4 linked regions of the Ovis aries genome follow. The protein of the gene in region 1 interacts with the protein of each later gene in a pairwise test. Links are inferred from orthologs where the notes say so. Each region holds a gene or a part of one and is shown in the gene's direction. Other genes may lie near its edges. The genes, in order: NFYA, POGZ, ZC3H10 and GTF2A1.

Evidence for each region.
Region 2: the proteins of NFYA (region 1) and POGZ interact in binary tests that used the Homo sapiens proteins (3 or more experiments, as listed by UniProt). The two-hybrid records come from large-scale screens. The link is inferred for Ovis aries from reciprocal best matches to the Homo sapiens genes NFYA and POGZ.
Region 3: the proteins of NFYA (region 1) and ZC3H10 interact in binary tests that used the Homo sapiens proteins (3 or more experiments, as listed by UniProt). The two-hybrid records come from large-scale screens. The link is inferred for Ovis aries from reciprocal best matches to the Homo sapiens genes NFYA and ZC3H10.
Region 4: the proteins of NFYA (region 1) and GTF2A1 interact in binary tests that used the Homo sapiens proteins (3 or more experiments, as listed by UniProt). The two-hybrid records come from large-scale screens. The link is inferred for Ovis aries from reciprocal best matches to the Homo sapiens genes NFYA and GTF2A1.

What each region holds. Positions count from the first base shown.
Region 1 is NC_056073.1:15,033,548-15,041,010, forward strand, and holds the start of NFYA (nuclear transcription factor Y subunit alpha), read left to right. Parts: upstream 1-2,316; 5' UTR 2,317-2,432; intron 2,433-7,463. Other genes in the region: ADP-ribose glycohydrolase OARD1, read right to left, coding at 487-631, 972-1,010. UniProt on the Homo sapiens protein: Component of the sequence-specific heterotrimeric transcription factor (NF-Y) which specifically recognizes a 5'-CCAAT-3' box motif found in the promoters of its target genes.
Region 2 is NC_056054.1:101,346,859-101,353,850, reverse strand, and holds part of POGZ (pogo transposable element with ZNF domain), read left to right. Parts: intron 1-3,958; coding exon 3,959-4,059; intron 4,060-4,741; coding exon 4,742-4,888; intron 4,889-6,992. UniProt on the Homo sapiens protein: Plays a role in mitotic cell cycle progression and is involved in kinetochore assembly and mitotic sister chromatid cohesion.
Region 3 is NC_056056.1:163,419,804-163,427,595, reverse strand, and holds the start of ZC3H10 (zinc finger CCCH domain-containing protein 10), read left to right. Parts: upstream 1-3,362; 5' UTR 3,363-3,389; exon of another isoform or gene 3,390-3,503; 5' UTR 3,504-3,528; intron 3,529-4,206; exon of another isoform or gene 4,207-4,376; intron 4,377-4,483; 5' UTR 4,484-5,310; intron 5,311-6,098; 5' UTR 6,099-6,162; exon of another isoform or gene 6,163-7,594; 5' UTR 7,595-7,649; coding exon 7,650-7,792. Other genes in the region: PA2G4 (proliferation-associated protein 2G4), read left to right, coding at 3-130, 286-339, 550-615. UniProt on the Homo sapiens protein: Specific regulator of miRNA biogenesis. Binds, via the C3H1-type zinc finger domains, to the binding motif 5'-GCAGCGC-3' on microRNA pri-MIR143 and negatively regulates the processing to mature microRNA.
Region 4 is NC_056060.1:90,686,858-90,693,849, reverse strand, and holds part of GTF2A1 (transcription initiation factor IIA subunit 1), read left to right. Parts: intron 1-450; exon of another isoform or gene 451-524; intron 525-3,511; coding exon 3,512-3,613; intron 3,614-6,992. UniProt on the Homo sapiens protein: TFIIA is a component of the transcription machinery of RNA polymerase II and plays an important role in transcriptional activation. TFIIA in a complex with TBP mediates transcriptional activity.

The sequences.
Region 1 (7,463 bases):
TCAGTAAGCCTGGACTGTGGTCTAAGCAACTGTTTTCAGAAGCTCCACCTCTGATTCTAGTACACTTTTCTGCTTTACAATCACTGGGAGCAAGCAACAGGAAGTGTTTGTAAGGAAAAGTTCTAAACTCTGAAGCATAAGCACAGTATGGGCAAACAGAGAATCCTGAATGCCAGGCTAAAAACTGTGGATTTTGCTAAGCATGCCAGAGTTATTAAAGGCTTCAGACAAATGGAGTAATATTATTAAGAAAGATTTATGAAATACGGAGAAATTTAAAACTTTTACAAGAACTCAGGTTTCGTGGGCCAACCCAAACTAGAGACCATCTCTGAAGAGGAAAAACTTAATCTGCAGAGTTAAAAGGACTCGGTAGTTAGGAACCCCATCTGTGCATATATATCTTGTTTAAATTATTAAGCTTAAAAGGAGCATCAAAAGATGGTCTGGTCAGGGCATGTGAGTTCAGGTGCTTTCAAAACTCACGTTGATTCAACAGTTCCTGCACTCCTCCAAATTTCTTCTTGAAGAGGACAGCTATCCCAGCGCCCATTCGACAGTCCTCACTGATACAATGCACTAAAGAGTCTGTCTGGGGGCACGCAAATAGGTCTCCTTTCACATAAGTAATCTAAAATGTGCAAAGAGAAAGAAAACTTTTGTTACATATAGAAAAATACTAAGCTACTTCTTTTCCTTTACTGTGCCCACCACCACCACTACCTCTCCCCGCCTCGTCCCTCCTTCATTTAAGAGACAAGTGTTCAGAATTTAATGAGTTATCTAAAGCGAATTAAAGCATGTGCAAAGTAATGAGTGGGCTTGCCTAAGATTGTATCAGCCTTTCTAAAATAAATCAACAGAAGAGGAAAATAAGACAATTCAATTACTAGCTTAATTAAAAATGTGTGTGCTTTGACCTCAATCATTCTGAATTTCGGTTCACCAGTAAGTTAATAGTTGTTACGCACTCGGCTTCCTTCTGAATCTTCATTAGGGCTGCCAGCCATGATACTGGGTCACTATTTCCAGAACTTAAGTGTTTCTTCAGCTATAAAAAGGGAGTAAAAATGCTTAGGCAGCCCAAATATATTACATTCAGACTGCCCTGCCCACCCACGTTCGAACTCTTCCCCCCACCGTTTATCACTGAGTGTGACTTCTCTAGAAAGGAACGCAAAAATCCTCGGGGCAAGGAGAGGAATAATGCCTGGGTTCGGAGGCGGCCGTGACCCGATTGCATTTCGCGCTTTGCAGGAGAGGAAGAAAGGCAGTCCTAAGACCCGCCTCCTCCTTTCCCCGCGCCCGCGCCGAGCAAGGCTGATTTAGGACAGTCTTTTCTCTGAAAGATGCAGGAGTACTTCCCCATTGGGTCTAGCCCAGGGACAAAAAGGTGGGACTTGGCCACAGTCCCGTTAAGTCGCCAACTAGAGAGTGTACCGGTCAGGCGGTGTGTACTGCCAAGGCGCGAGCAGGGGTGAGAGGGAAGGTGGCCCCTTAAGGAAGACTCACCCCCATCTTTTTGCCGGGGGGCGGGGGGCGGGAACTGGGGGAAGAAGTAGAGAGAGGCCTCCCATTCTCCGTCTCCTACCCTAGGGCTGATCAGCCAGGGCGTAGGGCCTGTCCTGGGATCCCGTGGGAGGAAGCGAGGAGGCTTGCTCAAAGACCCAACGTACCGCCGTTACCCTTCACCTGGAAAGGAGTTGGCCGTTACGAGGTCCCGCCCCGCGGGGAAGGGCTCTGGTAGGTGGGTAACAGCGGACGAGCCCACGATGCGAAGCCAATCCCACCACAGCCTTTAATTGCGCGCACCAAAGATGGCCGCCCACCATCCGGGAGCCGGGCGGAAACGGGCCCCTCTAGCTAGCCAGCCGAACCTGCACTCTTTGGTGATGGCCGCCGAACTTCCGGCGGTGAAGCCCGACCGCCGCTGCCGCCCGGGCATGCGTAACGAGACAGCCGAATGCAAGTTCGGTAGAGCGGCGCCTGCGCATTAAGTCCCAAGGGGTGTGTCTCCAGGGGCCGCAAAGAAGAGGGAGGGCAGTTAGCAAAGGAGTTACTTAGCGCCTGCGTGCTGCTAATATTCAAGGCTCTGTTTGAGTGGAAGGGTCTGGCGCGCCTAGAAGACGCCTGCGTATTCCTTCGGCCGGGTGGGAGCCAATCAGGAAAGTGGGCGTGGCTAAGGCATACGCCTGCGCAGTGCTGCTTCTGCGGGGGTGGGGCGAGCCCAGAGCTCGGGGTAGGGGGCGTGGCCTAAGAGGCGCCTGCGCGGAGGCAGTTGGAGGGAGGCCCGATTCCCCTTTGTTCGACTTCGCCATTTTGCGAGGCAGCGGCAGTGGCGGCGGCAGCGGCGGCTGGAGCCTCTGATTGGGTTTCGGGGTCCGGTACTGGAGCCAATCAGCGCGGGCAGCGAACCGGGGGAGCGAGGCACGGTGAGTGTGAGGAGCCAATATCCAGCGGCCCAGAGCCGGCCCCAGCGCCCCGATTGGCGGGTCTCGCTGACCACTCAGGAGAGGCCCAGGCGCCTGTCGAGCCCCGGGAGTCGAGCTGAGTCTAGCCGAGCGGGGCGACCTGCTGCCCCGGACCAGAGCCTGCGAAGCTCTCCGGGGCACTCCCCACCGAGGCCTGCAGGGGGCCGCCCCGCGAGGGGATGGCGCCCTCGGGAGCAGGCATCTCGGGGCCCATACCCGCGCAGGGTGCCAGGGCCAGTTGGGGATGCGTCGCTGTTCTCCCCGACCCTTTGGCCCAGTTTCTCGGGCCCCAGACCCGGGGGTGTGGGGTTTGCCTTTCACAAGGCCCCTACGTTCAGGTATACACCCACTCGGGCCTAGGCAGTTTCCTCCTGGTCTTTCTGGCCTCACAACTTAAACCTGCCCTTGCACTCAACACGCGGCGGCCCCCGGGACGGAAAGTCTCCCCCCGCGGGTCCCGCGCACCCCTCCCCTCCGTGAGCGGGTCTGTCCTGTCTGCAGCTCTCCTAGGTGGGGAAGGAGAACCGGGGAAGACGCGCGCCGTGGCCACCGGGCCCCGCGTGCAGCGCGGACGGGGCCCGACCCGCCCCCGCGTCGACACTCTGAGGGCCCGCCCTCGCCGTCCCTCTGCAGGGGGGGTAGGGGGAGGGGAAGGGGTTCGTTAGTGCGCCCCCTTCTCGGACCCCGCTGCGCCCCTCCTCCTAGCGCACTCCCGGGTCTCCGGTCCCGGCGCCGTTACCACCCCCTTTTGGCTCGTCATTTCCTCTCTTCCCCGCCCCGATCGCCGGGCAGAACCGCACACCTCCGTCCTGGAGCCCATCCAGGCGGTGTCCCTTCCTTGCCCGGGCTGTAAGCCCCTGTCCATTCGGTGCCTGGAACCTCGCTCTTGGAAGATTGCGAGCTCTGTGCATTCCTTTCCCCCGAGGCTGCACAATTTGCTTTCATTAATCTTAATCTGTTGTTGCTCATTTCGTGGATTCTCGCTCCCTTAGGAATGTAGTTTCTTTTCCTTTCACCTTTCTGTGTCACTTCGAACATGTCAGACTTCACTCATTAGCTTGGTTCACAGCCATCTCTTGGTTTGTTTTTTGTTTCCCAGTATGTTGACGTTTTCTTGGGTATTTATAGAAACTTAACAGTCTTCTGGGGTTTTCATTAGGGTGAAAGGAAATCTCCTTTGACAGCCAAGTATCTAACAGTTAGTATGAACCAGGCGTCCATCTGCTGGGGGGAGAGTGATTAGAGGTCGATGAGAAGCCTGGTGGAGATTGACAGGTGAACAGGTAATTCATATCTCAGGGTTAGTGCTGTAACGGGGCCAAGTTCAGTTCTGTGATGTGTGAGCTAACGACAGCCTCGGTGGAAGGCCAGCATTGCCACACTTTTAATTGGCCTTGAAGGATAATGGGGTTTCTTTGGGCAGGAAAGAACGGAAGAGCATTGCTCACAAAGAGAAGAGCATGTGCTGAGGCACCAAACTGCTGTGTTCAGGGGAAGAAGAAAACGTTGGGCAGTGGGCATTTGTGACAGTTCAGTAGGTTGGGAAACGCAGTTGGTAAAACCACTTGTATATTTTGCTAAAGGATTTTTCAGAAGCAGTTATTTTGTGGAAATTTCAGAAGTCTGGAAGCACGTTTTTTTTTTTCCAAGTTTGGAAAAATAAGTTACTGGCTTATGAGATTCTGCTCCACAATAACAGCTGACTTTGGAGGGGAGGAAGGGAGATTTTTCTCCTAGGACTTTAGAATTTTTCATTCAGGTGTACTATTTTTCACAGTACAGCAGTCCTTGTTACATACAGTCAGCTTTTAGTATATGATGCCTATTTTTATAATCACATTTACTGAAGTCATAACTGGTAAGTTTCAGAAAGCTACACTAGTGCTCTTTCCACTACTAAAAAATTGGGGACACTTGTTTTCATTTTTGCCATGAATTTTTTATTGTTGAACACATTTTAAAAATTGATTTGTGAAATATCTGATAGATGGGGCAGTGTGATTTAGATATTTTTTAAGAACGTTTACATTTGCCTTTGGAGAGGATAAATACCTTGGGACTTAAAGATGGTAGTATGTGTCACTTTAAAATCAGCAAACATTTTTGCTAGACTTCTTTCTAATAGACAGTTATTGTCCGGTCATATTATTGCTAAACCCCTCTAGAAACCCTACCTATTTGCAAAAGAACTTCCTTGCCTGGAATTTTGAGTACAGTAATCTGACCTTTAGCTTTCTCTTGATGTGTGGCCTTTTAGCCTGCTGTTTTATATGTGGAAATTTTTCTCTTTGTTTTTATGCTATGACTTCATTTGGAGCACTCCATTCCCTTCCACTTCGACATGTGTAAATCCTACTTGTGCTTAAGACCAGGTCAGATGCCACATTTTTTCTAAAGACTTCATGACTGTCCCCAGTTTCTGTCCTTCACACTCTTTTGTTTTTTTCCTTTAGGGTTTGGGTATAGATTTTTACTCCTTTACTAAATTTAAAGACTTTGAAGTTAAAAACTTATAGTTTTCGTGTTATTTCTAAAACCTTCAAGACAGTGTTTGACAGGTGGTCCATCATTAGTGGGGATTATGCAAATTAGCTGCAATCCAGAAACCTTTTGGATGATGGGGATACAGGACAATTCTTTGTTCTCTAGTCTTCTATCAAACATAGATCAGGACCTGTTTGTTAAGTTGTGAAGTCAATTTAGTGGGCCAATGCTGGTAGTTTTTTACAGTAGGATAGAGAATACCACCATTCATCTTAAGTTATACTTACAAAGATCAGTTATGAAACTTTGTTACTTTTTAAAATACGTTCTCAGTGCATTTGTGATACGAAATGTGTTTCTTACTGTGAGCTGTCAAAAAGTTTTAGAAACTGCTCTTCTAGTCTTTGCCTGGTAGTGATGATCAAATATGATAATTCTGCAGGGTTTTTCACTTGTTTATTGAGGTTGAGTTTCTGGTTGGGTTAAATCGTGTGTTGGTCCAAAACAAATGGATTTCTACGTAGTTAGCTGCATTTCAGGTTCTGTACCTTGAAGTGAGGAGGAAGAGATTTTCTTGCTAACCAGAATAAACATATGTTCTTTCTGTCTTTGAGGAAAAGACATTCAAACTTTGAGGTAGGAGCAAGAACTAGACAGGCTAAATCCGGCTCACTTAATTCTGTCAGAATGTGGGCAGAAAAGCACTTCAGGAAAGACGACGTCAGATTATATTGCAGTTCTGCTAACTGAAGCTCACAGTAATGGGAACACATGGCTTCATAGAAGCTGGTGGCAACCGTTCATCACCATTGGCAGTCTAAATATCATCCTCCAAGCTGAATCACTCCTTCATTAATATATGACAGGAAATTGCTGTTAAACTTGAAACCCCTTCTGTTTTGACCCATCAGTATAGTGGATTTAAATGTTTTTAAGTTGTAGTATTTGTATGACGAGGATAAATTAGTTAAAACCTGGATGACATTTTATCAGTCATTTCTCTGCACTTCCAGTATGATGTAAATTTCTGGAAATTAGGGGTCAAGGAAAAAAATCTCACACAGGAAGGGGACTGAAGGTGGAGTGGGTTGTTAAAATACAGAGGACATTCCTTCCTGATCTTGTTTTATTAATCAACTCTTTAATCATTTTAAGTGTATGTTTTAATGGATTTTGATAAATTTATACACAAATGCAACCACCACCATAATGAAAAAATAAGACATTTTATCACCCCAGAAAGTTCCAGATGCTCTATCCCAGTCAACTTCCCTCTTCCCCCTTTTCCATTTCCAGGAAACCACTGATCTGCCTTCCATCTCTGGATTACTATTACCATCTCAGGGATTCATATAAATGAAGTCACACTACTCAGGACCTTTAATTTTTAATTTTATTAGCTTAGAAACATAAATGCATTGTGGGTATTGCAGTTAGAGACAAGATAGAATTTAGGAAAGACCATTCACTTCCCTGAAAGAGCCACTGAGTCTGGCTGAAAATCTGGTTTTCTGTACTGTTCCCAGAATCTCTGAGGAGCCAACTCAGTCAACCAGTTTAGAAGAGACATATAAAAATCAGAAGGCTGATTTGTCACTATGCAATGAGCATTAACTGTTGGGTTTACTTGTGTTACTGATCATATCTGCTCCCTGTTGGCTACTGTATATGTGAATCCAAATTATAGCTAGATGCGTGTTTGGTGAGCATTCCATTAGAGCAAGGGTGGTGAGATGAAGAGCCATATGGCCAGATACACTGTCAGGCTCAGCGGCGTAGTCATCCTGCCACTCGTTTATGGCTCTTACCCTCTGTACCGGTTTGGTTGTGAGTAATAGACTTGATTGAGCTTTATTAGATTTTCCTCCCAACATTTAGTATAAAATTTTTTAGATAACAGTAAAGTTGAGTTTTACAATACCTGTGTGCCCGCCATCTAGAATCTGCTCTTAATGTACTGTACTTGCCTTTTTAGAGAGGTGTCTGTATATATCTATGTCTGAACCTACTTCACCCATCAGTGCTGCTGCTGCTGCTGCTAAGTCGCTTCAGTCGTGTCCGACTCTGTGCGACCCCATAGACGGCAGCCCACCAGGCTGCCCCGTCCCTGGGATTCTCCAGGCAAGAACACTGGAGTGGGTTGCTATTTCCTTCTCCAATGCATGAAAGTGAAAAGTGAAAGAGAAGTCGCTCAGTCGTGTCTGGCTCTTAGCGACAACCCCATGGACTGCAGCCCACCAGGCTTCTCCGTCCATGGGATTTTCCAGGCAAGAGTACTGGAGTGGGGTGCCATTGCCTTCTCCAACCCATCAGTGCGCTTCTTCCTAAATATGTGGGCATTCACAAATAACTGAGACACTTTACAATCATGGTGGGTAATTCATCTTATCCACCATGTGTGGATTTGTGGGGAGAGGTACATTGCTTTGCTGCTATGATGTGCAGCTCATGTAATTCAGTGTAACTCAAATGCAACTGTCACTCAAATTTTAGAATTTATGGAGGCCT
Region 2 (6,992 bases), on another chromosome or scaffold:
AACCCCAGAAATATTTAGTCATTTACTAAAGAGCGTACACTTCTAATAAGATGACGTGAGGATTTGAATCCAGTCTTCTAGAAATATTTCCTTTATCATATAAGGGATTTCTAGTTTTGTTGAAGAGACAAGAGAACAAGACTATGTATTTATTATAAATACAGACATTGGATGATATGAATGATCGGTAGAATAGTTCAGAGAAGGGAAAAGATCCTTATGGCTGGATTTCACAGAATAGGTAATGTATAAACTTGGTCTTAAATACAAGAAGGATTTAGGTGGATGGAAAACAGTAAGAAAAGATTTTATGTGATGGGGAACAGCATGAGCAAACATGTAGAGAGAAAAATATGCATAATATAGATGCTTTTGCTGCAGATTAAAAATCTTAACTAAAAATGGATTAAACATTAAAGACATCTATGATTAGATCCTTTAACTGAGAAGACTTAAGGTGGAGTAAGCTTCAAGCCCAGAACTTAAGTCTTTACTTTTCAACAATTTTCTTGTCTCTGGCTTTCTAGCAGAAAAGCTATGTTAATCTCAGGAATTCGTTCAAATGTAAGATTGTGCAGATGAAAAAGAGGCCATGTCTTCCTGTGTCTTTCCTAGGTCTGTTCCTTGTAAGGCAGAATTGTTTTCCGTTTATATCTCTTTGGCTGTGATCATATTGTTAAGGGAAGTAGGATTGTCATGAGTGGCCCAGATGAGTGCTTATCAACAGAAAATATAATGAGCTGTGTATGTAATTTTAATTTTTTTAGTAGTCATTTGAAATAAAAATATTTTAAGGTGAAATTAACTTTAATAGTATATTTTATTTAATTCAAAATAGCCAAGATAATCTTAGTATATAATCAAAATTTTTTAATTAATAAACAAATTTTAAATTATTCTTTTTTTTTTAATCTAGTGTGTACACCAGAGCAAATAGTCTCAATTTGAGCTCATCCCATTTCATATGTCACTAGCTATGTGTATACTGGTGGTTCCTATAGAAGGCAGTGGAACTTTGGACTAACAGTTAGTGGGTGGAGTAGATAATGGTTTCAACCATCATAACACCACATGCAGCAGAGTAGCAACTTGGTCTAAGTTAGGTCCCACGTTCTTCACTGTCAGTGATGGAAAGTCCAAATTACTCATCTGAATCTCCCAGCGAAAACATCTGCTTTTATACAGATCTGGTGGTGTGTGGTAGTCCACTTACATATTGTACTATACATAACAAGATAAGTTCTTCCTAATGGGAAAAAACAAAGTGGACAGTGCAGAACCTCATCAGTCTTTTCCTTTTCGTTTACCACGGTTTTATCCTTGACTTTTAATTTTTTGAGTATTTTATGACTTCGGTTTATACTGATGAAAAACCCAGACATTGTTGATCCGAACACAGGTAAATGCCTTTTCTGTGCTTTAGTATATATCAATTTTACTCTTGGATTCTTTTATAACTCCCTTTTTTTTGCATCTGTGGCAGATCCTTCATGAAAGTAGCTCATTTTTTCATGTTAACATCTTGAGATCATTGTTTTTAGTTTTGAAATTTTTTTTTTTATTTTCTGAAGTGTTTTTAAATTATAGACATAATGACGTTTCACTCCTAAATACTTCATTATATATCTCTGAAAAGTAAGGACATTTAAAATACATAGGCATTCCCGTCCTCATCAGAAAAGATGGCCTTTTTCCACCTACACCTCTCAACGTGGGGCCAAGAGGTAAGAGAGCTGACGTTTACTGAAGAGTTAAAACCCACTGCAGATCTCATGACTCTACATGGACCGCAATCAGGAATCTTAGGGAACACTTAGGATGGGTCCCTGAAGAATGCGGGTTCTGAAGGGTGATGGGAAGAGACACACTTGGTTATTCATGTGAGCAAATGCATAACTACCCTACTCTGAAACAGGTAGATGGCTCTGCATACGTAAAATCATTCTTGTACAACCCACGGAGCAGACGCCATGGGAGACACCCAGGGAGAGTGGGACTTTTGTCACAAACTGAGGCCAGGTGCGACAAGAGTCCAGTGGTCTTCCTGGGGTTCATGCCCTGAGCAACCAGATCTGTGTTCAAGCTACGGGTTCTAATGGAAGTCATACTTTGTGATAACTACAAGTTTAAACAAGTATAAACTTGATCAGTCCAGCTGATACAGTTAACACTTTAGTAAACGTCATTTCCAGCCTGAAAGAAAGAAACAAAAAACATAGCCATAGTATCTTTATCAAGACCTAACAGAATTAATCATAAATCTTCAACATCATCTGTCTTCATTTTCAAGTTTCCTGAATTGTCTCCAGAACATCAGTGGGTTATTGTGTTTAAACTTGTTTAAGGGCAATAGATGAAGGAAGAGGTAAGGTTGAGGGATAGATGCTTTCTTGTGTTCACATGTCAGGAGGATTCTTTGTGAAGAAAGACTCGGGAAAGGGAGAACCCCTTGTTTAGTAAAGTCATGGTATATATACATGGAATGATGAGATTGGATGAACCTTAGAAAGGCAAAAAGGATCTGTTCTTCCAAGTTTGGAAAGCAGGAAGCAGAGTCTATAGTATTTCACACCTGTTTTCTCAAAGCAAGAGACTGAGGTAGGTGTTAAGGAGGTGAGGGTGACAGTGCTGGGAGGGACAGTGTTAGGATGGCCACTTTGGAAAATCAGTCAAGTTTCCCTCTTGAATCTTCTTCAAATCAACTCCTTCCCCTTAGAACAGGTGTGAAAGGTTATTAGAGATCCCTTAAATCCATTGATGGCTTTGATTCCTTTCTCACTGATTTTCTGTGTATGAGATAATCCATATAAATCTTAGGATATTGTTTATGCATTAGAAATTATTTAATAAATGTTACTATTGATATTATGAGGCAGTTGTAACAATAGAGCTGATTTAGGAAAAGGCTTGGACAGAAGGCTGGGAAATACCAGTGCTTTAAAGTGTTCTAGAAAAGAAAAAAAGAAGCTAAGCAAAGTGAATTGAGAAGTAAAGGGCAGGAAAACAGGAGAAAAGATTGTCATGCCACTAGTTACAGTATCCCAAACATGTCATGCAGTTCCATGCCTTTGCTCAAGTTCTTCTCTTGTCTTCTCTGTCTGGCAAATCACTATTCTTTCAAGGTTCAACTTACGTGATCAACTTTTCCTCATTCTAGGCAGAATTTTTTATTTATCTGGTTCTCATACCTGATGTACTTCTGGGAAGTGGTTCTAAATGGGTTGCAGATGCCTTTGAGAATCGACACAAAACTTCCCCCCAAAATAAACATTTCACTCTTTGCAGATAATTTCAGGGGATACCTGGGTTCCTTGGACCCCGTATTAAAAACCCCTGGTTTTTGTTCATTTGTTTTATTTCAGCTTCACTCATTTGGGAGTGGTGGGCAGGGGTTAGACAGTAAATAAGCGCTTAGCACTTCCAATTTACAATTTTTGTGTTCACAAAAACTTGAAAATAATTTTAGTAATGTTAAGAAAAATACAAATAACTGTCTTTATTTTGCCTGTATAATTCACAGTATGTAGCAATTAAAATATTTGCCAAAAATTTAGAATTGCAGCCTTACATAGACATTTGATAAAATGGCTAATTTTAAAGTTTAATTATCTCAGTTTATTAGCAATAACTCATAAGAAGGCAAGAAATTCTGTTCATGTTGTCAGTCTTTGAAGGACAAATCCATATTTGTAGATGGTAAACTATTCCTGTGTAAATGTCTTGTAGAGAGTTCAAAATCTAGAAAGGAGCTTTGGTGAAGACATCTGAGCTAGAGACAGAAGGATACTTTTTATCAGCAACACAACTGTTGACAACCATTTTAAAGAAAAGAAGAGACCCCATAAGTTACTAATACTATTGCAAATGAAGATACAGGAGTCAGAAAGTAAAGATTATGAATCAGCAGGATTTTGGTCATATTTTCGAGTGTATTTACCGATTGTTTTTCTTCTCACAGCCAAGTGCAAGATCTGTGAGTGGGCATTTGAGAGCGAGCCACTGTTTCTCCAGCATATGAAGGACACTCATAAGCCTGGAGAGATGCCTTATGTTTGCCAGGTACGGCCTTCTCCTTAGGGAGCTTTGCTTGGTCTTTTGCTCTCGGGCTGAATGTGAAGATTCCACTAATGAACACTGCCCAGTATCTATTGCACATACTCAGTTTAAGGAACACTGAGGAAATACAAAAGAAATACTGAACCCAGGTTCTATTTTCAGGGTTCTTCATGCAGGAGAAAAACATAAAGGATATATGCATGTACCCAGCTGAGGAACCCAGTCTTGGAACACAATGCCTGTAGTAAGGGAGTGTCTGGGACTTCCCCGTTGGCCCAGTGGCTAGGATTCTGCACTCCCAGTGCAGGGGTCTGGGTTTGATTCCTGTTCAGGGAACTGGATCCCACATGCAGTTCTAGACCCAGTGCAGCCAAATAAATACGTAGTTTTTTAAAAGTGAGGGAGTGTCTGTCCCCTGAATGTTTCCTGTGGAGATAGGAAAAAATCTGCTCCTCTTAGCGAGAATTTGGACTTTTCAGACTTTCCTGTCCTTCCCATTTTTACTATATTTCACGGCTGAATTCATGATCACAAACATAACTCTGCATTACAAATTCAGAAAAATAACTTGATTTCTGTACATTTAGGAGAAATTTTCTTTCTATGTTAACACTTTGTTGCTACCCCTTTTCTAAGGCCTCAGTTGTTCACTTCACTTGTAGCTTATTTCCCTTATGTGGTTCAGGTGTGCCAGTACCGCTCCTCACTCTACTCTGAGGTGGACGTCCACTTTCGGATGATCCATGAAGATACTCGGCACCTGCTCTGCCCTTACTGCTTGAAGGTCTTCAAAAATGGCAGTGCGTTCCAGCAGCATTACATGAGGCACCAGGTACCAGACACCAAGCAATTGCCCTGCTTAATTATGGGTGCTGGGGCCAGATCTGAGCGAGGCAAATAATTTTGGTGGAGAAGATTATATGTGTGAGTTTGAAAAATGTATTGAATTCCAGTAATATGTACCAGGCACTGGGCTAGATGCTGGAGATTTAGTGGTTAAACGGGACAGTTAAATAGTACAATAAAGCAGGAGCAATGTTGTGTTAGGGGAAATACAGAATATAAAAAAGAACATAACCTGCTCTGGGAACCTAGAAAGTCTTCCAGGAAAAGTGTTGTTCAAGACCTGAAGGATGAGGAAGGATGAGCCAGGTGAAGTGGACTAGAAGGACAGCATGCTCAGAGGCACAGGGAGGCTCAAGGAATTGAAAGTTCAGTGTGGTTGGAGTGTGTAGGGTATGGGGGAGGTTGGAGGTTAGAGAACATATCATGGAGAATCTTAGAGCCATAAAAAGGAGTCTCCAGAGCTTTGCTGGCGCTTCACTGTTTAAGACTGCACTCTCAGATGCAGGGCCCAGGTTCGATTCTTGGTCAGGGAACTAAGATCCCCCATGCCTCACGGCATGACCAGTAAACAAACCTGTGGCTTTAACTGACCAAAAAATAAAATAGTTTAAAAAATAAAAAGGCGCTTCATCTTTTATTATAAAAAGTTGGGAGAAGCCTGAGGAAAACTGCCAAGAGGAACTTCGGGACATGACTAGTAAAATACCAGGTGGTATCCTGGATGGGAACCTAGAACCAAAAAAGAGAGTGTATGTAAAAACTAAGCAAATCAACATAAAATACAGACTTCTGTTAATTAAAACAAAAGTTGATGTTGGGAAGCCATTGAAGAGATTTTCAAATCCTGGAGTGATGTGTTCACATTTGCTTTTAGTTATGATTACACTGGCTGCTCCAAGAGTTAGGGAGACAAGCCAAAGGCTTTTTCAGTAGTTTACCTGAGAGATGATAGTGGCTATTGGCTTTTGAAATGAAGAGGATTAGAGTTGCAAGATACTGAGAAGATAAGTGCTATCTGTAATTTAGAGATGGATTAGGTGAAGGTAGTGAGGAAGTAGTTAAGAATAGTGCCCAGGATTCTGTCTTGGGTAATTGGATGAATGGGGAGACTATACTGAGATAGGAACACTGGAGAAAGTAACTTTTGAGGGGAGGATTCTGTTTGGATGGATATTCTGAGTTGGCAGTATCTATGGACATCAAGTGTAATTGAGTACTAAATAGTTGGATATATAGGTCTGAGGCCTGAATTGTGAAAGATACTTAGAAATCATCATTATATAAATCCAGTAGATTTAAACTTGAAAGTGCGAAGCTTCACCCCCACCCCCAAACCCCCAAATTGAGAATAAGGTGAAAGACCATTGAGTTCTCTCTCTACAAAGCCAGGGCCATAGTCCTGGGATGAAAATCCAAAGAGTCGTGATGTCGAGGAAGAGGCGGGGACAAAAGCATTTTGAAGGAAAATGTGTGGTCAAATGTTGCAAGAAGGTATCAGCAAGATAGAAACGTGAGAGGCCAGCCTTTAATTTAGCCATTTCGTTGGTCAGCAGGGTAGAAGCCAGATTTCAGTGGGACGGATGAATGAGAGGTAAGGAATGGAGAGAACTTACTTAAAGAAAGTTATGAAGGGCAGGACCAGGGGTGGCAGACGCAGGGAAGGAGGAGCAAGGGAGAAGTTGCTGCTGCTGCTGTGTTTTGGTTTGAAGATGGAATATATAAGCCTTGGTTTTAAAATGCTGCAGGAAAGGAGCCCCTAGAGGAGGCGAGTGAAGGTACATAGAGAGGGACCAAAACAGAGAACAAGATGGGTGCACCAGTGGGTGACATCCACGTGTGTGCACGCGTGCCCTGGCTTCTCGCTTGTAAGCACCTTCTTAGGTTCACACATAGTGACTGCTGTAATCCCCCACTGGTGTATTTCCATATACTAGCATAGGAACTGCCACCTGTAGCTGATGTTACAGAGCCTTCGCTGTCCTAGGAAGGAATCGTAGACGTGTCCTGTTTCGATACTGGGCAGACTGAATCCTCAAAATGGCCTTTCAGGGAGGCATATCTGTGTTGATGTGTTAAAAGGGAAAAAAAAA
Region 3 (7,792 bases), on another chromosome or scaffold:
AGGTGAATTTGTTGCCCAGTTTAAATTTACAGTTCTGCTTATGCCCAATGGCCCTATGCGGATAACCAGTGGTCCTTTTGAGCCTGACCTTTACAAGTCCGAGATGGAGGTCCAGGATGCAGAGCTCAAGGTTAGTGTGTGATGGAAAGGAGCAGGGACATGGCACTTTTTCTGGGAGTGAGGACTGAGTGATGGGAAGTCCTGAGAAGAGCTGCAATGCCGAGAGTAGCACTTGGCATTTGCTCCATGTTCCTCAAAATTTGTTCACTTTCTTCTGTTTTGCAGGCGCTCCTCCAGAGTTCTGCAAGTCGGAAAACCCAGAAAAAGAAAAAAAAGAAGGTTTGTTATGATCATCCCTCCCTGGTGGGGTGAACCTGATCATCTTTATTCACTTTCCTGGGTCTTGGTGGGGATATAGGTGTCGATATGTCCTTATTTCTCCTCTCAGCCCTGACCTAGAGAATTAGGAATACTCTTGTCCTTGGTCCCCCAGACAGTACCCTAAGTTGTTGGAAACTGACACATCTTCTCTCCTTTCCATGAATGTAGGCCTCTAAGACTGCAGAGAATGCTACCAGTGGGGAAACTTTAGAAGAGAATGAAGCTGGGGACTGAGGTGGGTCCCGTCCCCCCAGCTTGCCACTCCTGCCTCATCCCCTTCCCGCCACACCCCAGGCTCTGTGAAGTGCAGTTCGACTTCTCCACCCAGGACCGCGAGCAGAGCGGGGTCTCCCTGTCCTCCTCCCAGTCCCCCATCCCAGCCCCTTCCAACAACAACCAGCTCCAACTGACTCTGGTCTTGGGAGGCCAGGCTTCCCAGCCACCGAAGACTACTTTAAATAGAAAAGAGAAATTGAATAATAAAATCAGGAGTCAAAATCCATCGTTTTCAAGCCCCTCTTTCTAGCCTTTTTCTACTATTCTCTGCTTGGTCAAGGTTTATGGCCCTACAACAGAACGGGAGGAGGCTAACACAGCCACCACCACTAAAAACTCAGATGAAATTTTTTTATACCACTCCAGTGTCAGCATTTTCCCATCTGTTTGGGCTTGTTCCTCTCTCTGTTCCCACTTTCCCCAAGTCTTTTATCAGGCCTCAAAATAGAGAGGAGCTATTCAGACTGTTTTTCTTCACATGTGGCAGATTCCTTTTATGATCCAGGCTGTTGAGCCAGGCCCCTCCCATTTTTAGGAGCTGGAGCCTGCATTTACCAATGGATTCTCATCTGTCAGTTGGATCCTCATTTGTAAGTCTTTGTAGTCAGTTTTGTTCTACAGGACAGTTTTTCCTCCCTCCACAAGGCTGTAAAGAAGTAATCCATCTCAACTTTGTCCATTTCTTTGAAGTCAGTGGGGTTCTTCCCTTGCTCCATCTTAGAAACCTGAGCTGGAAGCTCCACTGTGGTTTTGTTCCCTGTTTGAAATACTTTTACTTCCCTTCCTTGAAAGAAAGATGTATAACCAGAGGAGCAGACTGAAGAGACAAAACTCCTGGCTTTCTGAAGCTGTGGACTTGGATTAATTGCTAGGGGTTTGGAGAGAAAGGTGACCTTTCAGTACCTCTGGCATGCTGTCCCAGGGAACTAGGGCTCCCACTAACTTATGAGGTTTTTAAACACATTGAAAATGATATGGCATTAAAATAAATTTGGATTTGCTCATAATCACGTGTCTGTATGCTGCTCTTATTTGATGGTGGAGAGTGAGCTGAAGTGATGATCATCTGGAACCAGTTTTGGGGGGTTTTTTTGGCCTTGCCTCATGCCACGCAGGATCTTGGTTCTCCAACCAAGGATCAAACCTGTACCCCCTGCAGTGAAAGCATGGAATCTAAACCACTGGACTGCCAGGGAAATCCCTGAAACCACTTTTCTATAGCCATATTCTGCTTTTCTAAAATAATAACTTGGGTTGGGGGAAGACATAAAACTCCTGGGTTTTGTGAATTAATGGTCATTTTCTATGGGAGTTTGGTCTAGTTTTCTGAAGTAAAAACATACCCCTTACTGCTGACACTATTTAGAACACAATGTTTATTGCAAAAAAATTAAACTGCAAAGTGATTGTCTTGGCTTAGGAAGCCAGGAAGAATGCCTTTAGTGTTAACGTGATTTTTCAAGCTACCCTGAGATTTGATGGGTAATGCATGTATTAGAGCATTTTTTATATGTTACTGCTGAATTAACTGAATTAAACTGAAACAAACTGAACACAGATCTCTTCCTAAGGGTTTATAGCAATCAACAGGTGAAATCCCAGTGGGTTTGATATCTTGGTGGGGAGGGTGGTTATTTTTGTTTTCAAACACATTACAGTCCATTGGTGACAATTCTAGAGCCACTTAAGAACTTGAAATTTAGAAATCTAATTTTCCAGAACTAAAACGGTGAAATTTTCTAGAGAAAACGCTAAAAAAAGGAATCATAACAAGCCTCATTCCATCTTATAGTGAATAAGGTGAAGTCCGTATGATGAAGGGTTTTCTTTCATCCTTCATAATACACGTTTTCTGCAGCCAAATCTTACAGTGTCTTTTTTGGGTGCTTCTAACCTAACCATATCTTGATACTGGGAAGCTGTCATATCACCAAATACTATTCCTGCCTAAAGATACATGTAGCTGATCGGGCTTTCCTTCTGTCCATTAATTAGATCTGTCGTTAATTTGTTAATGTGACAGGACTGAAGCGACTTACCACACACTCTGAAGAGGGAGAATCACTGAAGTATTTTCTAAACAAGATGCATTGTCGCCAGGAATGTTATGACATTCTGCCTCAGGCATTGTAGGGAAAGACCAGTTGACTAGGAAAAAAGTTTATTTTTCACAGTAACAAAGGTCTCTTTTTGTAGTATAACAGCTTTCTCAATTCCCCGCTTTATATCCTTTCAATGTTCTGCAATCTTAGGACCTTTAGAAGTTCCAAAATCGAACCTGCAGATATTTAGTTTAATAAATAAGGTAAACCAGTAAAACAAATCAGGACTTTTTGTACAGTCCGCCTCAATCCACAGTAAAATGGAGGATGTCTCCAGGAAACTGCAACTCCCATGAAGCAACGGGAGGAAAGGCGGAAGTAGCTACCCTTTGCTCGTTTGCGCCTCTAGGTCTCTTATTGGAAATATGTGCTCATATCTAAATAATACGGTATCCTCATAATAAAACAGGTGAGAGGAATCTTGTACATCAAAATACTGATTTCCAACAGAATTTTCCTAGCCTAATCACTTCACACACCAGCGAACTGCCAAACACTATCGTTACGCCCCTTGGGCAATCCCGCCCCTAGGGGCAGGGCGAGAAAGCGGAAGTGACGACACTGAGTATTCCATTAAATATCCGTAGGCGAGCCCCTGGCGATCTCTCGGCCTTAGCGCCATCTTTTGAGGTGAGTGTCAGTGATGCCTGTGTTCGTGTTCCGACTGCAATCCATAAACATCTGATCTCTGCACTTACCATCATTACAGCAAACTAACTGCAGACTTTTTTTCTTTACCCGTAGAAACCTCTGCGCCATGAGAGCGAAGGTAAGCAGTCCCTGCCAGTGAGCTAAAGCTGTAAGAATTGGCTGTTGGTAGGGGAGACCTTGGCAAGGGAAATCGGCCATCGTTCCGGTTTCGCCGGGTTCTTAGGTTGTGCTAACGAGCTAGTGGGAGAGGAAGGATAGTTTGAGGAGAAGCATATTAAGTGGTGGGTAAGTTCTGTGGGGAAAAGCAGAGTAGGTGGTAGGTAAGTTCTGTGGCGAGAGATGCTGAAAGTGGGAGAGAGCGCATGCAGGCAGGATTCAGGGTTTTACGTCTGGGATCCAGGTGGCAGTCCAGATTGTTGATGTGGTTTATTGCGACTAAGCCCTCCTACTTGATCAAGAATCCACCCGGTTCTAAGTAGTGCTTTTCATGGAAGTTATGAAAGTGTTAGTCGCTCAGTCGTGTCCGACCCTTGCGATCCTGTGGGGTGTAGCCCGCCAGGCTCCTCTGCCCATGGAATTTTCCAAGCAAGAATACTGGAGTGGGTTGCCATTCCCTTTTCCAGGTAGTCTCCCTTACCCAGGGATTGAACCTGAGTCTTCTGCATTGCAGGCAGATTCTTTACCGTCTAAGCCACCGAGGAAGCCTCCCCTAGTGTTCTTCATATCCCTATCTAAACATTGTTACTGAAACTAATGATATTTTATTCTCTGTCCTTGGTTTATAATCGGTTGCCAGTGGAGGAAGAAGCGAATGCGCAGGTATGCTGGGACGTAGGAGGTGGGGCTGGGAGAGTGAAGGAAAGTGGACAAAACTTGGGACGAACATCTGGTTTAGAAATCCAAAACAACTTATGAGCATTGACTGGCCAAAGCCATGAATTGAGCAGAAGACGACAGAATCGTAGTGTTGGTTGATTTTACCTTCCTTTGTATTGGGTGCACATTTAAGATTGGAGGGAAAGACTGAACTCGGGTTTGTGGGACCGAGGTGTATTCTTATGTCTGGTTTTCAGGCTGAAGCGCAAAAGAAGAAAGATGAGGCAGAGGTCCAAGTAAACTTGTACACCTGTGGAAGCCACAGAAGCAGAAACAAGGGAAGCCAGAGGCCAGGGACGCTGATACAAAGTGTGGACTGCATGCCTACTATCTAGAACTTCTCAATGGATCTGGAACATCTATGGCCATTCTGATCGCCTTGACCACCTTTGAGAGACCTACCTTGCTCATATCAAAGCCGTCCCTTTTATTGCCTTGGACCTGTGATAACTATGGACTAGTTCTCTTCTCAGTTGTGGCTGAATGTAACGTGTACAATAAATCATCTCTTGCTGTCTTAGCTGAAGAAAAATTTTGTGTGTTATGTGGTTTTTTATGGTTAAACTAGCTGGGGATTCTCTTATCAGTACAGTCTGTCTCTACTCCCTGTGTTAGAAAAAGTCAAGCTTTATATCTACAAGTCGGGGGGGGCGGAGAGGTGTGGGTTCCGGTCTTGTGAGCTGCTAGAGGATTGGGTGGCCTTTACTTCCTGGAAAGCGCGTAAACGCCAGGGACGGTTTTCAAGTTGATTTCGCGGGCACAGGAGCAACCAGGTCCGCTCTTATCTAGGTCCACGTTACAGAATTCCGCTTTGGGTCAGGTTGCCATGGTGACACGCAAAGCTTGCTGGGAACTTCCTGCTGCTAGTCGCGCAAGTACTTCGCACACCACAGAGTGTGGTTCCGGGTCTGGTAGCTAGAGCGTCATTTCTTCCGCAGGAAGCGGAAGGGCGATAGGGTAGGCGGCTCTTTGTCGAAGCTAGAGGACCGGCAGGCGGCAGCAGCAACTACGGCGGCGGCGGCAGGTGAGGGAGGCGGGAGACTTAGGTGGAGGCCGCGCCCGGAGGGGAGGAGTCGGGGCCGGCCCAGCGGCTGGGTTCGGCCGGGCTACACAAGGCCCCCCAGGACAGAGTTGGCTGTTCCTCACGTCGTAGGGCCGAACCCCTTTTCTGACTGACCCCGCTTCGCGAGCAAACGCCAGCTCCGTGACGTCACACCCTTGCCCATCCCCTCTGCTTGATGTCACCTGGAGTTCCCTTCCCCGCTTCACTTCGTGCTCCCTTAGTGTCCTTTTCATGTGGTCCCCGGCAGAGCTCCGGCGGCACTGCACAGAACCTGCCAGGCCAAAGACTTGCTCCGGGAAACTCCTAGGACTTTTCCCCCCACCCCCAAACTCTGGGTGTTGAGAAGCGTCATAATCACCGCCCCCAAGTCTAACCCGCCATCCCATTGCACTGTCAGTCGCAGCCCTTGCACGGCCCCCTATTCGGAGTTCCTAACCCTGACCCGACTCCGGGCTTTGATCCCTACATTCTCCTTCATCTCGAGAAGCGTCCCTTATCCTTTGTTCACTCAGAGCTGGTTTTCCAACTCTCTTTCCTAGGCCATCCAAATTAGTGCTGTCCCATACTACTCTTCTTACTAGCAGCTTCTCCCCTTGACAGGGGAAGTTCAATTTGAAATCGAAGGAAATCTTGGAATGCCTAGAGCTCTTTCCATTTTGTCAGACTTCATTCTTGCAGCAGCAACCACCCTGTAGTTCTCCATTCTTACCCCTTCTCACACCCAAGTCTCTTGTTTTTCTCCTGCTCAGAACCCAGCAGTGATGTGGAGGTGGAGACCCACAGGAGCCCCGGACTTCACCTGAGCTACCTCAGGTATCACGCAATCCTGGGAAAGTTGGGTGGGGAAGAGATCTGCTTCTGGTGGGACTTGTAACATGGGTCAGGCTTGGATAGATGCCATTTATTATTCAGCAGGTCAGTTCCCTTTTAGTAAAAGTTTGTATCTTTTCTTTTCCCACTCTCTTCCTTGATTGCTTTTACTATTCTGGGACTACCTCCCGTTGGAGGAAGAGGACCTCTTTCACAGATTCTTTTGCAACTCTGGCCTGTGATCCAGTCGGTATATTTTCGGGATCATTTTGCCTTGAAAGCAAAGTCAAGGCAACAGACTGGGTGGTTGGGGGCATCAAGGCCAAAGAAGTTGTAAAGATTCCCTTATACTCAAGGGGAAACAATATGAAGTTTTCCTATTTGAACAGCAGGGGGAGCCTGAACACTGCTGAGGAAAGGCTTAGGAGGTCAGACACGTGGTAGCAGGGACTCCTAGTCTTGTTGGGGGTGGGGAAAGGAGAGGGTTAGAACCAGGGCAGTGGACTGACATTCCTGAGATCTCTTGGGAAAGAGGAGACTTAAAAAGCTTTTATAGCGTCTATAAATAAAGAAGATCTTCTTGGAGTGAGGAATGGTGTGGTTTGATGTCAGTGAGATCTTTCCATGGAGGGTAGGAGGGGTATAGAGTGAAGAAAAACAGGTTACTTGTTCCTGTGAAATTAACACCTTTCTATTGCCTTGATCTTGCCACAAATGGTTTTGTTCTTTGGGGGTCTATAAGTGGAGATTCTAGCTGTTGAACTCTGCCCCTGAAATGGAGAGAAGGGGGCTGACCATCCTAGAGTTGAGAATAGTGGTAATCTGGGAGAGAACTCCAAAAAATGACAAATTTAGATATTGCCCTCAAGGTGGTGATACCAGTCTCTTTACTCAGGACTTCCTGGGGTCTAGATATCTGTTTCTTCACAGAGTCCTCGCCTGACATCCCATGGAAGAGGGGGTCAGGGAGGCAATGTCACCAGTATCCCATTATCCATTGCCATTAGTAGCTCACCAGCTTATCTTAGCCAGAGTTCTAGTCTCCTCTTAACCTGATCAGACACTGACAGCAGTTTTAATTTTGCTTCCACAAATTTAATAAAGTCAGTTCAGGAGGGGAAATAAAATCCAACACTAATCTCTCCCGCCCTCTGCCTCTTTGGCATGTCATGGTTATATGAGGTGGCTTCACCCCAACTCTCTTCTGCTCCATCAGCCAGGCAAGTGTGAATCATTCTGACACAGACCAGGAGCACAGGGCCTGGGCAGGACTTCTGATAAGCCAGCCAGTCCAGGCAGAGTGCTCATCCGATAGCTTCTCCATCTCCAATACCATTGTCCCTCTGGCCTGCCTCTTGTTGGATTGCCTGATAGTCAGGAAAAGTTTGGCCTTCCTGGAGGACTCCAGTGTTGACACAGTTCTTCTCTTTCCTAGCGGTCACCAAGAGTGGCAAGAAAAGGAAGAAAGCCCTGAGTTGGGAGGGACCAGGATGCCTGACCGGGACAGCTATGCCAACGGCACTGGGAGCAGCAGTGGAGGCCCTGGAGGTGGTGGCAGCGAGGAGGCCAGTGGGACAGGGGCAGGCAGTGGTGGGGCCAGCTCAGATGCCATCTGTAGAGACTTCCTGAGGAA
Region 4 (6,992 bases), on another chromosome or scaffold:
TCTGGCGGTTGTGCTTAGGGAGCCTTCACTGGGGCCATTTTATGTATTATTGGAAAAAAAAAAAAAAAAGACGAAGGTTGAAAAGCACTTATTTCGGTTCCTTCCGAATCGGTAAAATGGCGAAGGGGAAGCAACCCCCAACGTCGTATATACCTCCGACTAGCAAAAGCACCAAAACAAAACAAAGCCTCCAGTGGTCCAAAGTGCCCCGCTTTCGCCTTGAAATCTGCCTACTTGCCACCGTTGGTCCCTTTTTTTTTTCTTTTTTCCTTACTTGCGATCACGTAGGTTTGCAAAAAGCAGTCACATAAATAACCTTGTCTGTCAGTCAACAACGCAGTGTGATCACGAGTCCACCCCCACTCTCTTTTATTTTTATTTTAACAATAAAACAAACGTTTCTGCCCGGTCCCAAACGCAGACCAGCCCCGCGGCAGCCCGGCCCCGTACCGTTGACGACTCGGGTCGATCCATCATGGCTGCGGCCGCTTACCCTGCTTTTCAGTCCCTGAGCCTTGTGGTCCTCCTCCCTTTGGCTGCCCTGTTTATATAGAGCCATTGCCGCTCTCTAATATAGACTCTGCCAGGATGGGAAGGTGCTTTTCAGGCCTACGTCACCGCCTCTCCATTTAAACACCAGATCCGGCTTTAAATAGTGAGAGCTGCTGAGAGCGGGGCTGGGAGGTGCGTGCTCCCGAGGCGAGAGGCAGGCGCGTGCAGAGCTCACTTTTATTTCTAGGTCCTTTTCTGCCTACTGTAATTTCGTGCCCAGTCAGGGCGGCCTTCGCAGCCGCAAGTTTTTGTTTGGACGCAGCAGCTGGGATTTGCCGGTCTTTGTTAGGGGAGAATAGACTTGCCGTCTCTTCTTTTTATTTTTGTTTTTAAAAACAATTTTAAGCTCAGATGTCTAATCGTTTCTGTATTTAAGAAGGTACATGCATTATTGTCAGTTATTATTTTTTTTTTTAAGCTTTAGCTTCCAGCTGTAGAGGGTTTGATTTTGGTAGTATTTTTTTCACCGAGCATTCAGGACATATTAGAAATACAGCTGCTAATATTTCATCATGTTTTCCTGTAATAAATGTTTGAGACACACACCTTTTCAAAGAAATAGAGAAGTGCCTAAACCTTCGACGTAGAGTCTTATGTCTACAGTACAGTAATTGTTAGGGGAATTGTGAGTAATGTGAAGAGGCTTAGTGCAAACTGGGTATTAAAAAATTAAAGTTCTAAGTAGACTGTTTTTGCTGCATTGCATGTTCATATGGTATCCCGTGTAGAAATTAATCCAATTTATTTTCCAGTATTGTACTAGGAACTAACACTTTTGAAAGAAATTCTTTGTTACTTAATGACGCTAATGGCCCTTTAATTCACGAGTTTGGAATATCTGGTATTTGAAAACCAGGACAAACCTCAATTACTGTGTATTCCATAAAAGGCAGAAACTGGTTCAAGTAAAGTTTAGTGTTTTAAATAATAATTTGGAAATTGCTTTTTTCAGATATTGCCTATGTACTCGCATACTCTGAAAGACAGCAGTAATTTGGGTGCTTTTTAACTCCTGAACAATTTAAAATTCTCTGTGTACTTAATGATGAATACACATTTCCCTTTAACTATAGTGCATACAAATGCATTAAGTGGTCAGGTTGTGGGTTAATTAAAGCAGAAAAACAAAATATTAAAGCAGGATCGTTTCATTAACTAGGGAGTGCCAGAAGAAGGCACATTGTACCAATAAATGTGCAGATATCCAAGCAGAATATTTAGGGATGACTAACTTCAGAAACATTACAATTATTTTGCTGAAAAATTAATTTATATCGTCAATATGACATTTATACTACCAATTTAAAATTACACTGCATCTTTATAATGCTTTGAATCATTGGTTAAAAAAACTTTATAAATGTATTTTTGTAATTCAGTAGTTGAATCACTATAGATCAAGTAATATCCATAGGCAGACTTCCCTTGTTTATAGAATCAGACATTTTAAGGAGATATTGTAGAGATGGCAGAAGTCACTTGAATAATTTTAGTTCACAGAGACAGATTTGGCAAAATAGAGAGTAAGTGGAACAGCAAAGGTGAGAACTCAGATACATTGTTTTTCTGTTGCATTGAAAGGGAACAAATAGATTTTAATGGTTGAGGTAAGTTATATAGAGGAACATACTTGTATTTTTGGCTGGACAAAGACACATTAAGAGATTTCCCCTGTGATAACAGTATTGCTGATGGAGATGCTAATAAAACTTTTCTATTTGAGGTTTGTTTATAAGAGCAAACCTTTGGTTTTATTGGGTAGCAGTAACTTTTACCTTAAGCAAGATATAAAGCTCAAATAATGACAAAGCATTAAAAGAAAAAGGCTGTTAATAGCTTTGTGTGATAATGGATAGAATTTATAACAAGGTAACTCTGACAGCAATCTTCCTTTTGTCCAACATCTTAAAAATAGGATATGGGTTGGGCAAATTGTTCTGTCTCTTACTTTTTGGTTTTTTAAAAATACTTTATATACTTTTGAAGTGCTTTCACATCTATTCTCATTTTATTTTTGGCAACCTTCTGAAAGCTCCCGCCCCCCCCCCCCCACCAGTAATGCCAACAATAACAGTTATAATAATAGGTTAAAAAATAAGTATCAAAGCTGCTCAGTATTCTGTTCCATAGCGTCATCTGGGCAGCTCTTTGGTTTTAGTCTCTCAGTCATGTCCGACTCTTTGAGACCTCATGAACCCACCAGGCTCCTCTATCCATGGGATTTCCCAGACAAGAATACTGGAGTGGGTTGCCATTTCCTTCTCTGGGCAGTAGTAGGAGAGAAATCCTGGAAAAGAGATCATTGTGCCTTGTTCCTCTGAGACTGAGACCTGTTATTGTGGTTATAGGAAAGGCTTTATGGTATAATTTAAAGGTACAGACTGGGTAACAAAAGCCAAAATCAGGTGATTTTAAATGTGAATACTCATTAACTTTCAAATTACTGCCAGGCAAATGATCACAGAACATAAGACTCTGAACTCTTAAGAGGGAGATGAGGTTAGGAGATATAACCGGTTAAACTAAGCAAGGAATAATAAAAACCAGACATAGCAACCAGTAATACTGTATTGTTGGGTCCCATTGACTGTTTTGACTGTAACAACATAGAAATTATAACTGAAAATTGTGTGGGCCTTCTATGTGTAGTGATCTTCTCTGTTAAATATGAATTGTATTAAATAGTCATAAAACTTTTGTTACAATATGCAGTCATCAAGTCATTCAGTTTAACTAAGGCAAATGATCTTTTTACAATGACCATTCCTTTAAACTTACATCTTCTAAAATAAGTTTTAGAGAGTTAGAAAAATGACTATTGTGTTAATTTGTTTTGAATTTGTAAAAACATGTTACCTTTTTTTTTTAAACTTTATTTTACTTTACAACACTATACCTATTTTAAAATGTGAGAAACAGTCTTTTTCAACAATCTTAAATTTTTATTTTCCCTTTAAAGCCTAAACTATACAGATCTGTGATCGAAGATGTTATTAATGATGTGAGAGACATCTTTTTGGATGATGGAGTCGATGAACAAGTTCTGATGGAACTAAAAACTGTGAGTTTGCCTTGTTTTTTTCTTTTTTAACACTCTTCATTGAAAAACTATACTCCCATTATTTTTTCATATGATGACCATTTGACTTTGTTGCAGGAAGCGGTGTAATTAGTGAAGGGTGCTTGTTTTGAATACCAGTTCTACCATACATTCTTCCTCTGACCTTAGGCAAACCACTTATATTTCAGTTTCCGTATATGTCAGATGGGAGTTCATAGTACTTACCTTTTAGGTTTGTTTTGAGGATTAAATGTAATAACTATCTGAAGTGTTTAGCACAGTGCCTGGCGATAGTATTAGCTGTTATTAGTGGGCAGTTTCATTTATGGTCTAATAACTTCATATTTACATTCCTATAAGGTTTTGTTTTCCTTTTTTTTGTCTCAATGTCTGGATATTCTAAAATGTGTATGCTGTAGAGATTGAGCAAGTGCTTGATCAGTTTCACATTCTGGAGTCGGATTTTCTCTATGGGCCAAGTATTTGGTTTATCATATATCCTAGTTTGGGAGCTCCTTTTCTGTCTCTTAGATTTATGTGGATTTAAGCAGAAAAATACAGATATTTTTATTTTATGTTTGTGTTTTCTTATTGCTCTAAGAGTCGTGAAATCAAGGAGTATTTTTACCTTACTGCTCAGAACTGTGATTCTCAAAATATGGTCCGTGGACTTTCCCACAGGCTCTTCCAAGGGGTCAGTGAGGTGGAGCAGTGCCCAAGTCTGAATAATCACAGTATGTCTCTCACATTTCCAGTAAAAGTTGTATTACATGAAAAAAGTGACCAGTTAAACTTGAAACTCAAATGAACAAGTGCTGTTCCTTGAGATAACTGCTCCATATGCAGCAGAAGTGCATTATGCATGCTTCATATTTTGATGCACTGACTTAAAAATATGCTTACTTTTAAGGTTGAGATAAGATCGTTGATATTAAGATATTCAATTGTTTGATATTCTGTAGTGAGATGTGTTAACATCGGCCTATCTGCATACTACACTGGACTCGCATTTTCCAAATGACCAATGCATGATGTTGCAAAATCCCTTCAAAGTTAAAGATAAATGAATGGATTTTAATCTAAGAATATGAAAAGTTAATTAGTATGTGGTCTCACATAGTACATTGCAGCTAACCTTTAAGAAACCATTACTTAAAATACTTCTTCCTTTCCCAGCTACTTAGCTGTGGGAAGACAGATTTTCTTAATATACGTCAGTGAAAACAAAGTGAATGCAGCAGATGAGAGAATCCAACTATTTTCCTTTAAGCCATTTCTCACTAAATTTTATTTGGAAGACATGGTTATTTTCATTGAAAGTATTTATGTTAACATATAATGGATACATGTTACTTTTAAGTAAGTAAAAGTTTTTTTAAAATCTTATTTAAAATTTTGTAAAAGCTCATTGAGGGACTTGCTTGGTGGTCCAGTGGCTAAGACTCCATGCTTTCAATGCAGGAGGCCGGGGTTTGATCCCTGGTCAGGGAACTAGGTCCCACATGCGGCAGCTAAGTGTTCACGTGCAGCGATTGAAGAGTGCACGTTCCACAACAGGGTGGAATATCTCATGTGCAGCAACTTAGACCCAGTGCAGCCGAGTAAATAAATAATTTTTTATTTTTAAAGCTCATTGAGGTCCTCATTAATTTGTGAAAATGATAAAGGAGCCTGAGACCAAAGAGTTTTAAAACTGCTGGCTTAGAGACTGGAAATTGAACTCCTTTAGAGCTATGTATAAATAAGAAATCACAGTTAGTGAATGCTATGTAGCACTTGTTGTGGTCTTATTTATCCATTCAACAGAAGTGTGGAGGCTGCAATTTAGCAACTTATAAATTTAAATAAAGCAAATCTCACTTGTATTGTGGTGATGAATATATCTTAGAATATATCTTAGAATATTGCAGCATCTGTAGGCAGCTTCTGTAGGGTTTTCATTAAAAGTCTCCCCATGTGAGGGAGGGAAAATACAGGTTTGAATGGGACGAGGAAACATTTATTTACCTTAGGAGAAATGTGATGGTTACTGCCAGTGAAGAGTAGGTATCTAAAAATATAAGACTGCCAACTTTGAGATATGAGTTGGAAGAATAGCAATGGAAATTGCTCAAACACATTAAGTATCTCAGGGATATGAATAAGAAGAATATACACTTATTTTGATTTCTTAGTGTTTTTTGGAATGAATATTTTACAAATTATCTTATAACCCTTAAGATGATGTAGTTCTGTGACCTTATGTGGAAGATACAGCATTTTTAGGTGTAGAAAATTAGTCCCAAAGGCTTTAATTTACCCTTGGTCAAACTAGTGGTCAATCCAAGTTGTTATCTGCTCTAGCTTTTCACAGTCTGGGATTGATATTTTGCTACTGGTCCCAGTTAGGATCAAGGCGTTATCTTCAAACAGAATGAACTCTTTGAGACCAAATAGCTCCACCTACATTTTTAGTACATAGGATTTTACATATATGTGCACACATACTTGCAGATATATGTACGTATATTATAAAAGTAGTATATATATATATCTATGCTCTATAGGTTATGCACTGACTTTTTGTTTGTTTAGTGCTTAGCTTAATATGACAAAAATTGCCTTATTTTGAATTCCAAGCCTCTACCACAATGCTTGGTGTATGTGATTGGCATTCAGTAAATATTTACTTAAGCAACTTAATAACAAATGTTGCTCCAGAATCTAACTGAAAAAAGTATTGTAATGTTTTTGTTGCTTTTTAAATGGGACATACTCTTCTATTCTGGGTTGTAGCTGAACTTAAATATAAAACTGTTAGGCTGAAATGAGTTTGCATTATTTTAATTCTTTGCACTAAATTTCTTCCAGATCTCATTAGAGTTTACAGAATGTGCCCTAGTTTTAACAGTTTTGACAGCCAGCATTACCCAGTAGAACTTTCTGTGATGATGCAAATAGTCTATAATCTTTGCTCTCCAGTATAGTAATCACTGGCCACATGTGGCTATTAAAGCACTTGAAATATGGTTAGTGGAACTGAAGAACTGAAGTTTATTTAGTTACAATTAATATCACTTTAAACCATCACATACAGCTACTGTATTGGACCTCTTAGGTTTGAATATTCTTGCTAATGAAAACTAACAATGTTTCATATTCTATGGTTTATAAAGAACTTGTCATTAGCTCTGTCCTCTTTCTCACCCTTTTATGGTATTTGACAAACTTTTATCAAAAACTTCCATGCAGCTGTGAAGGATACAGTGGTGTATTAGATTGTAAATTAAGATGAGTAATGAGAGTGCCTGTAATTTGAAGTTTAGCTAGATAATACAGGAAGGGACCTCCTGCATTAAAAAATTCAACCTGATTCCTGAGGTTGTTAACAGTATGGGTC